Linked DNA regions of Saccharomyces cerevisiae S288C. The gene in region 1 interacts genetically with each later gene. Each region holds a gene or a part of one and is shown in the gene's direction. Other genes may lie near its edges.

Region 1 (3,218 bases):
GTTCATACAACACCTAGTTTTATTTATTTTCTTTTCAATCTGAGTAGTTGAGTTTTCGATCACTCACATAGAACTATTTTTTGCCATTTAAATAAAGTATTCTCTCAAATGATGCGATACTATAATACTCTTTGCCATATATTACATTCATTCATAAATAGGCTATGTTTCTATATCCGTTTCCGATTCTGTCTGCAAGCAAGGTTCCCTATCATTACCGGATTGTTCACTATGGTTGGAGCTCTTCTTTTCCCCTGCACTTGCATCAGTCTCAGATTCAGAACCAGAAATGTCTCCGTAATCTTCATCCGATCTTCCTGCTGATATTTGAATACCATTGTCTTCTAAAGACACTAAATGTTTTTGAACATCACTGCTACTATCAGATTCAAAACTTATTGATTGTGTGTCATCTCCAAAAGAGGTAATATCATCGTACTTTTCACTGAGTTTATCTTTAGCAGTAATAATTGGCCTTTTAGAAAGTCCGAAAAATTGAAAGTCATCAAAATCGTCGTCTTCCATTTTGATCACGGATTGATTAGATATTTTTCTATTAGCTCTCCTCCGACTTGTGTCTTTCAACTTCTTTTGTAAATTTTGAGGCTCTACTACCGTCTTTCTTCGTTTCATTCTTTTTCCTGGAGAGTTTAACTCAGAAATTGGCTTTTGCACTTCCGTATTAATAAGCGCAGAATCTAAAACATCATCGTCAGACAATTTGATATTATTTTGTCGCAGAATCTCATGAAGCTCTCTTATTTTCTTCTTCTTCTCATTCAACAAGGTTACCATCATTGCTCTGGTTCTTTCATCACGTGTTTCTAAAAGCTTATCCAATAGCTCCCTTTCCCGAGCCAGCTGTTCAACTCGATTTCTATTGCTAGAATCGCTCTCCTTTATATTCCGGTAAGAATCGTTAACACAACAGATATCTTTATAGAGTTTATCTGCCATTTCAAATAAATCAATCTCTCCCTTTTTGACTGGATGCAAGGTAAGTTCAGCGATTTTTCTTATGATCGCCGATGACTCCAACTCCATAACTACTTTCCATACCTCATCATCTTGCATTCTGCACGTCCATTTTGTGAATACGACTTTTTCGTCTAACGATGCAATGTACACTTTGTGACCAGTTAACATTTTGAGTAGTTCATACCACACATATTTCTTAGACTCTTCATCGATATTTTCTCCCGTAAAGATTCGCAAATCATTGATTCCAAAACTGCTTTTGGAAAAAATTCCTGTACCTTCACTTACCAACATTTTCTCTATTCTAAGCCCTGAAAGACTGTTCTCATCTAATGTTTCCAACATAGCGCCATCTTCAATCTGAATCTTACAGAGGCCACGCTCATCTTCTTCATTTTGTTCTTCATTAACCACAGGGATACAGCTAATGAACTCCGTCAGCTGGGACATAGCACCCTACATAAATAAGTCATCCAATGCACAATTCTCTCAGTTCTATGCATTGACACGTCGAAAACTGCCGTTCATCTTATTATTCTTTAATATGGCTTTTCAAAATACGCTTCCGGGTACTTTTTCGGATTCATTAATGGTGTAATTAGTAATGCGTAGAAATATTTTGTATATAATAATAAATAACATGTTTGTCCAACAACTCGTAGGCTAGGCTAAACGTGAAGTCTTTCTGTTTTTGAGAACAACAGTATACATAAGTGATATCCAAGAATGACTGAGATACTACCACATGTAAACGACGAAGTGCTACCAGCAGAGTATGAACTTAATCAGCCGGAACCAGAACACTGTCCTGGTCCAGAATCAGACATGGCAGGTAAGTCCGATGCTTGTGGTGGCTGCGCCAATAAAGAAATATGTGAAAGTCTTCCGAAAGGCCCTGATCCAGATATTCCATTGATCACAGATAACTTGTCAGGAATAGAACATAAAATATTGGTTTTATCAGGCAAAGGTGGCGTAGGCAAGTCGACATTTGCCGCAATGCTAAGTTGGGCACTTTCAGCTGACGAAGATTTACAAGTAGGTGCCATGGATTTAGATATATGTGGACCTTCTTTGCCACATATGTTAGGCTGCATTAAAGAAACCGTCCATGAATCGAACTCCGGTTGGACACCTGTCTATGTGACTGATAATTTAGCCACCATGTCTATTCAATATATGCTTCCAGAAGACGATTCCGCCATTATATGGAGGGGTTCAAAAAAGAATTTATTGATAAAAAAATTTTTAAAGGATGTTGATTGGGATAAACTCGATTACTTGGTAATCGACACACCGCCCGGAACATCTGATGAGCACATTTCAATAAACAAGTATATGAGAGAATCTGGCATAGATGGTGCCCTTGTGGTCACCACACCTCAGGAAGTAGCTTTATTAGATGTACGGAAAGAGATAGATTTCTGTAAGAAGGCTGGTATCAATATTCTTGGACTAGTGGAAAATATGAGCGGATTTGTATGTCCAAATTGCAAAGGAGAGTCCCAAATATTCAAGGCTACCACAGGTGGAGGTGAAGCACTTTGTAAGGAATTGGGCATCAAATTTTTGGGGTCTGTTCCGTTAGATCCGAGGATTGGCAAGAGTTGTGACATGGGTGAAAGTTTCCTGGATAACTATCCTGACAGCCCAGCTTCGAGTGCTGTACTTAACGTTGTGGAGGCTCTGCGAGATGCTGTGGGGGATGTATAGTATATTTTATCAAAAAGAATAAAAGGAAGTGCATTAGAGGTCAAATCGTTTTATAATATAAATATCATTACCTTTAAATCTTAGACCTACTGAAGAACACTTTTACCATATATAATGCTACTAATTACTCCAAAAGCGTTAGCTTCAGTCCATGTTTTACTATTTTTCTTTTTTTTAGAAATAAAAATAAAAAAACTTATATCTTATATGTACACTTCATTAAATCCTGGGCAAACTCACCCCTCAAGTATGCCTTTTCTGGCTGCCCTAGGGGGAGCTCAAGCAATTTGGCCTTCGAATCGCCTATTGAAGGATTGTTTTTCTCCAATATTTTTGATACAATCTCTTGGGACATAACATTACAACATGCGGCCACTTCACGACAGTGCTTATACTGATCATAAAATATCTTCATACCACTAATTAATGAATCGATAGTCTCCTGCGTTTCAACATTATCCAACACAAGCTTTAGATATACTTCAAATACGTTTATACTTACACTCCATTTGTCCCTCTCAGAGTCT
Region 2 (7,303 bases), on another chromosome or scaffold:
TTTTTACCCTTCTCTTTTAATTGTTCAATTGCGAACAGACCATCCAAAGATTCGAAAGAAAGACTGAGGTGCTCCGCATAAAATCTTTATAAACTTTAGAAGTAAATGGTTTCGTTCAGAGGGCTGACTACACTAACACTACTTTTTACCAAATTAGTAAACTGTAATCCTGTTTCCACAAAAAATAGGGACTCTATACAGTTTATTTATAAAGAAAAGGATAGTATATACTCTGCCATCAACAATCAAGCCATCAATGAAAAAATTCATGGAGTCAATTTGGGTGGGTGGCTAGTATTGGAGCCGTATATTACACCTTCTTTATTCGAGACTTTCCGTACTAATCCGTACAACGATGACGGTATTCCTGTTGATGAATACCATTTTTGTGAAAAATTAGGCTATGAAAAGGCAAAGGAACGCCTTTATAGTCATTGGTCGACGTTCTATAAAGAGGAAGACTTCGCGAAAATTGCTTCTCAAGGCTTCAATTTGGTTAGAATTCCTATTGGGTATTGGGCCTTTACAACGTTGAGTCATGATCCCTATGTTACCGCCGAGCAGGAATATTTTCTAGACCGGGCTATCGATTGGGCTAGGAAATATGGTTTGAAAGTATGGATTGATCTTCATGGAGCCGCTGGTTCACAAAACGGATTTGATAACTCAGGGTTGAGGGATTCATATAAGTTTCTGGAAGATGAAAATTTAAGCGCCACCATGAAAGCTTTAACGTATATTTTAAGCAAATACTCAACAGACGTATACCTGGACACCGTTATTGGAATCGAATTGCTCAATGAACCGTTAGGTCCAGTTATTGACATGGAAAGATTGAAAAATTTGCTTTTGAAGCCGGCTTATGACTATTTGAGAAATAAAATTAATAGCAACCAGATCATTGTAATACATGATGCTTTTCAACCTTACCATTATTGGGATGGGTTTTTGAATGATGAAAAGAACGAATATGGCGTCATAATTGACCATCATCATTATCAGGTGTTCTCGCAGGTGGAATTAACAAGAAAAATGAATGAACGTATCAAAATCGCCTGCCAATGGGGGAAAGATGCCGTAAGCGAGAAGCATTGGTCCGTAGCAGGCGAATTTTCAGCGGCCTTAACAGATTGTACAAAGTGGTTAAATGGGGTTGGTCTAGGTGCCAGATATGATGGAAGTTGGACCAAAGACAATGAAAAATCTCATTACATAAATACGTGTGCAAACAACGAGAATATTGCCTTGTGGCCCGAAGAGAGAAAACAGAACACTAGAAAGTTTATCGAGGCTCAATTAGATGCTTTTGAAATGACTGGTGGATGGATAATGTGGTGTTACAAGACAGAGAATAGTATCGAATGGGATGTTGAAAAATTGATTCAACTCAACATTTTTCCGCAACCTATCAACGATAGGAAATATCCTAACCAATGTCATTGAAATTTTGTGGCATATATTTAAGGTCTTGGGAATGTGATGATTATTATTGGAGAAAAAATTGCCATCTAAAACTCTTTATATAACATGATGAGGTATACAAATAAAAAATACTTTATATCTTATAATTATGCAAATAAAAGTGCTTCCATCAACCGCTACTTCACTTTTTATCTGAACTATGAATGGGGAGCTCATGATGATTACCTGTTGATATTACGTGAGGCGGAAGAGAAGCACGAGACACGGGTCACTCTCGATATTACCGGACAGTTTACTTAGACTATGTAACGAATATGAGAGGAAGAAAAACAATAAATAAATACAAACCTCTCCGCAGTTTTATGAAAGAACAGGACAGGGCGTCTATACCGATTTTTACATCTATCTTTTGAGTGCTTGAAAGGAGACGCTGGACTATATCTTTAGGTTAAACATCTGTCAAATGGCAGCAGTACCCACCATCGACCTTACACTAGCCGATTCAGATAATGAAGACATATTCCATTCTTTTTCGTCTTCAACAAGTGTGGATAAGATAGACATTAGGAAAGAAAATGGGAAATTAAGAATGGCAGGCTTGGAAGTCGCCCAATCTAATGACGATGCAGCACGTCAAGCATTCCATGTTTTCAAGACGAACATATCAAATAATGAAACCTTCGATACTATTCTTTCAAAGAGCAAGACAATCACAGACAGTACCTTCAACAATGAAAAATCTTCCAACGAAGTAAAACAGCAGCAAGTCTTGAAGGAAGAAACGATGGGATCTTCCAACGATGAGAAGAAAACACAAGAGAGCAGCCCAAGCGCAGAGATGATAAAACTTTTTTATGAAAACGATGATGTGCCGTTATCCGATAGTTTTAAACAAAAAGAGGAAGGTAAAAGAATAAATCAGGATGAGCAAGTGAAGGAAAATATCTGTGGCATTTCTTCCTCATACGTCTCCAAAGACTACGATGGCGTTGAAGATGATTTCGAGCCTAATACTTGCCAGGACAGCAATTTGGATTTTCAAGAGGAGAAGTTAAACTTGAATAACAAACCGTCACAGCAACAGTTCAGCGACCCAGAAACAAAAGATAACAGTTTGAAGAGCGAAAACAAAGACCAAATAAAAGGAGTCACAACAACAAGTTATCGTGATTTACCTATTGAATCTAGTGCTTTCCAGGATTCTGAAACTCAAAATAACTCCAAAAACACTATACCTAACATCGTAAATGAAAAGCGAACGCCAGCATTACCGTCCAATCTAAGCTCTGTTGAGAGTTCCCTTAAAAACGAGACGGCCAAAGTAGAGGGGAAGACGACCGTTCGTCTTCCAGGACTTCAAAATAATGTTGCCTTACTTGAGCAAGAACAAAGTGAACTATTCAAGCACTTTAGTGAACAACCTGTCGATATTAGCGATTTTGGTCGTAAGATTAAAAGGAAGCATAGCGGAGATTTTGCAGATAACAAGATACTTAAAAGACCGATATTGCCCTCAAAAAATATGGACCACACAACACATAATTCACATGATTCCGAACAGAAAAATAGCTCGATTATTATTCTTTCAGATGAGGACGAATCTGGTGCCGGTATCAATGATATAGAAAGTCCTTTGAAAGTTTCTGAACCAAATACAGCTGATGCGCTTAGGAGCAGTGTACCAGAAGTCATATCTTTACTTGACCTACCCAATATTGACTTGAATAACTCAGTAATAAAAGAAGCAAGTGGCAGCAATTCAATTCCTACATCAGAAACAGACGCACAATCCTCGAGTTCGTCAGTTCTTCAAGGAACTATCATGACAGAACAAGCTACTCAATCCTCTCAACACGAATGTAACAGTTCACTTGATACTCTAAAAAAAAATCATCAAAAATTATTGAAGGATTTGAATTCTAGAGAGTCTGAACTACGTAATGCTCTCAGTTGCTGCAAGACAAACTCTGAAATTTTAAGAAGGAAACTAAGTAGAAGAGAAAAGGAGGTCTCTGATGCTGAAAAACATTGGCAGTTATTGTTGACATCGATGGCTAGAGGGGGAAGAACTATCAGCTCAACTCAGCAGATATTAGTTGATGAAGCTGAGAACCAATTAAACAAACTGAAGGAAAAAAGACAGTTGACAAAATCGAAGCTAGATTCAATCAATTTGAAAATGTATAATTATAACGAACAATGGAAGTCCTTTGTGCATTCGAAAAATATAAACCTGCAGAAATCTTTGGCTGCCCTTGAGCGGTCAGCCAGGGATAGTAAAGCTTCTGCGACCGTAAATAAAAGAAACGAATGCCTGGCTGAGAAAGAAAAGCTAGACCAAATGTTAAAAGAAGGAACCCTAAGCTTCAGTACCTACAAGCAGTTAACAGGGGAGATCCAGCAGAAACTGAATGACTTGAAACTGGGGGACCAACGCACAACTGATATCAATAGTGTATTGCCAATAGTACGGCAACCTCTCGCCAAAAGAGATTTATTTATTAAGTCCATTGATACTGCAAAAGATTTATTAGCCAAGAACACATCCAGGACAGAAATGACGAAGAGAATTCTTTATAGACATTTGGACAACTTGGTCTCTTATAAAAACTTTTTTGAAGACGGAAGATCCTTAATAGATATAAACAGAAGACACGTTGCACATGAATCGGCCCAAATATTGTTCACCAACGGTGTAAAGATGCCCATTGTTTTTGAAACATTACAAGATTACGGCATCAAGTTTTCTAATCCAGCCATTGTCAATCCTGACAGAAGAGCCCAATATTTTAAAAGCATCGAAGTTGCACGCGATCTCATATCAAAGTCTACTAGATCAGAGGATGCTAAACGAAAGATTACTCGATTTTTGAATATAATTGAAGAATTTCGTAAAGATATTGACACCGGATTTCCACCTACTCCTTTAAAAAGGGAAGGCGTCGGAAAAGCTGTTGTTGGGCTAAGACAACAAGGACTTAAGATGGACAGACTATATGAAAATTTGAGAAGATATAAGATTCCAATAACAAGTGAAGAATTACTGCAGCAAAGCTATTTATTTCCGGTAAACGCAGATCAACGACCTCCTTCAAACTGGAACATCGTGGAAAATACCGAAGATACTAGTTCTACAGCCAATGATCTATCGATGCAAGATGAATTTCACATCTCTAATATGCATGCAGCAGAAGATCAAGAACAGATTAGGGCTCTTTTAGAGAATGTCAAACAATCTGAATCCATTATAGACGGCGAAGCACTTACTCCCGAGGATATGACCGTAAACTTATTAAAACACCAGAGGCTGGGTCTGCATTGGTTGTTACAAGTTGAAAACTCCGCAAAAAAAGGGGGTCTGCTTGCTGACGATATGGGCCTGGGTAAAACGATTCAAGCTATTGCATTGATGTTAGCAAATCGCTCAGAGGAATCCAAATGTAAAACCAATTTGATCGTCGCACCAGTCTCAGTCTTGAGAGTTTGGAAAGGTGAATTAGAAACGAAAGTAAAAAAACGCGCAAAATTTACTACATTTATTTTTGGAGGATCAGGTAACGGAAAAGTTAAGCACTGGAGGGATTTGGCAAGATATGATGCTGTTTTGGTATCTTATCAAACTCTAGCAAACGAATTTAAGAAACATTGGCCGAAAAAACTGGATGGTGAACAAAATCAGCTACCAGCTGTGCCTCATATACAAGCTCTTAATAGGTTGAAAACCTCAAATGAATACTACTCTCCATTTTTCTGCAATGATTCAACGTTTTACAGAATTTTACTGGACGAAGGCCAAAACATCAAGAACAAAAATACAAGGGCTTCTAAAGCGTGCTGTACTATAAATGGAATGTATAGGTGGGTCTTGTCTGGTACGCCGATTCAAAATAGTATGGATGAGCTTTATTCCTTGATAAGATTTCTAAGAATTCCACCCTACCACAAGGAGCAACGGTTTAAATTAGACATTGGAAGGTTTTTTCAGAGAAATAAGCAATATCAATATGATAACGAGGATAGAAAAAACGCATTAAGAAAGGTTAGAGTCCTTCTAAATGCCATTATGCTTCGTCGGTCTAAGGCTGATAAGATCGACGGCAAACCTTTACTGGAGCTCCCTCCTAAAATTGTGGAAGTAGATGAATCACGCCTGAAGGGAGAGGAATTAAAATTTTACACAGCTTTGGAATCAAAAAATCAAGCACTCGCTAAGAAATTGTTGAACAATTCTACGAGGGGGAGCTACTCTAGCGTTCTCACATTACTACTTCGCTTAAGGCAGGCTTGTTGTCATTCAGAATTAGTTGTGATGGGAGAAAAAAAAGCGGAAGGTACAAAGGTAGCTAACGGCAAAAGCTTTGAAGATGACTGGCTCAGGCTCTACTATAAAATCACTCACATGAGCGGAGAAGCGCAGGCTCAGGTTATTACTTCAATGAATTCTATGACATGTTTCTGGTGCATGGAACAATTAGAACCAGAAGCGATGTCCGTTCTGACAGGTTGTGGTCATTTGATTTGCGACACTTGTATCGAGCCCTTCATCGAAGAGTCATCCATGCTACCTCAGGCCAAGAAAACCAAAGGTGGGGCATTTGCTATCCCATGCAAAGATTGTCAACGTTTGACAAACGAGAAAGATATTGTTTCGCACAAGTTATACGACCAGGTAATAAACCAGGGATTTACTGAGGAAGATTTGCATGCAGAGTATTTAAGTGAAATGGAGAAACAAAAAATACAGCAAAAAAATGTATATGTGCCAAATTTTGAGAGTTTAGAACCATCTACGAAGATAGAGCAATGTATACAGGTTATTCAAAGAGTTTTTGATGAATCAGCAACCGAAAAAATTATTATTTTTTCCCAGTTTACAACATTTTTTGAGATTCTCGAACATTTTCTCAAAAATAAACTGAATTTTCCCTACTTGAAATATATTGGATCAATGAACGCTCAGAGAAGATCAGATGTTATCAACGAATTTTATCGTGACCCTGAGAAAAGGATACTTCTGATTTCCATGAAAGCCGGTAACTCAGGACTAACATTGACATGTGCGAACCATGTAGTTATAGTTGATCCATTTTGGAATCCTTACGTCGAAGAACAAGCTCAAGACCGTTGCTATAGAATTAGTCAAACAAAAAAAGTCCAGGTGCATAAATTGTTTATAAAGGACTCTGTTGAGGATCGTATTTCTGAATTACAGAAGAGAAAGAAGGAAATGGTCGATTCTGCCATGGACCCAGGCAAGATAAAGGAAGTGAATAGTTTAGGGCGTCGGGAGTTAGGATTTTTATTTGGTTTAAACGCTCTTTGAAGAACTTGGTGAATTTTGAAGCATTATTGCGATACACATATGTATATGTTGATAATTGGTGGCTAAGCTTCTAGTTTGTAGGCTTAAGTAACTTCACTCGTTGGCACTTACGAGCTTGGCATTTAATGGAACAGAAAATAAGCCGTAAATCGGCCCTACTTTAAGTATAAGAAATATGCGAAATTTGATATGATCGTTTGAATTACTTTTTGAAAAAGAAAATACCATTAGTAACATACAATATAAGAAGCTCGTCTCCTGGATTTGGAAATCCACAAAAGATTATCAACAATGCCACGAATAACATAATTGCTTCCCCCTCCTGTTAATTGCTTTAACTCATTATTGCATCGTTAACAGTTGTTACTAAATTTGATTTTTGTTTCTCATCATATATGTAATCTTCAAACGCCAGTATAATTATACGCTCGCAACAGCTACCATACATTAATGAACCGATGAAAATATCCCGTTTGATGATAACTGGCAATTAAATGACAGTATTAATTAATAATCAAAGCTGATCTTATATTCCTATAAAAGAGAAGCGTATAAAAC

The links. Genes that interact genetically often act in the same process or in processes that back each other up.
Region 2: mutations in NBP35 (region 1) and ULS1 together harm fitness more than expected from each alone (negative genetic interaction), as found in Saccharomyces cerevisiae (one large-scale study listed by BioGRID).

Annotation. Positions count from the first base shown.
Region 1 is NC_001139.9:341,529-344,746, reverse strand, and holds NBP35 (Fe-S cluster-binding ATPase), read left to right. Parts: upstream 1-1,704; coding exon 1,705-2,691; downstream 2,692-3,218. Other genes in the region: LIF1 (Lif1p), read right to left, coding at 163-1,428; nucleocytoplasmic transporter NUP145, read right to left, coding at 2,888-3,218. UniProt on the Saccharomyces cerevisiae protein: Component of the cytosolic iron-sulfur (Fe/S) protein assembly (CIA) machinery. Required for maturation of extramitochondrial Fe-S proteins.
Region 2 is NC_001147.6:690,590-697,892, forward strand, and holds ULS1 (translocase ULS1), read left to right. Parts: upstream 1-1,885; coding exon 1,886-6,745; downstream 6,746-7,303. Other genes in the region: SPR1 (glucan 1,3-beta-glucosidase), read left to right, coding at 106-1,443. UniProt on the Saccharomyces cerevisiae protein: ATP-dependent helicase involved mating type switching and in silencing interference through its interaction with the silencing regulator SIR4. Cooperates with UBC4 and UBC5 to mediate ubiquitination of SUMO conjugates.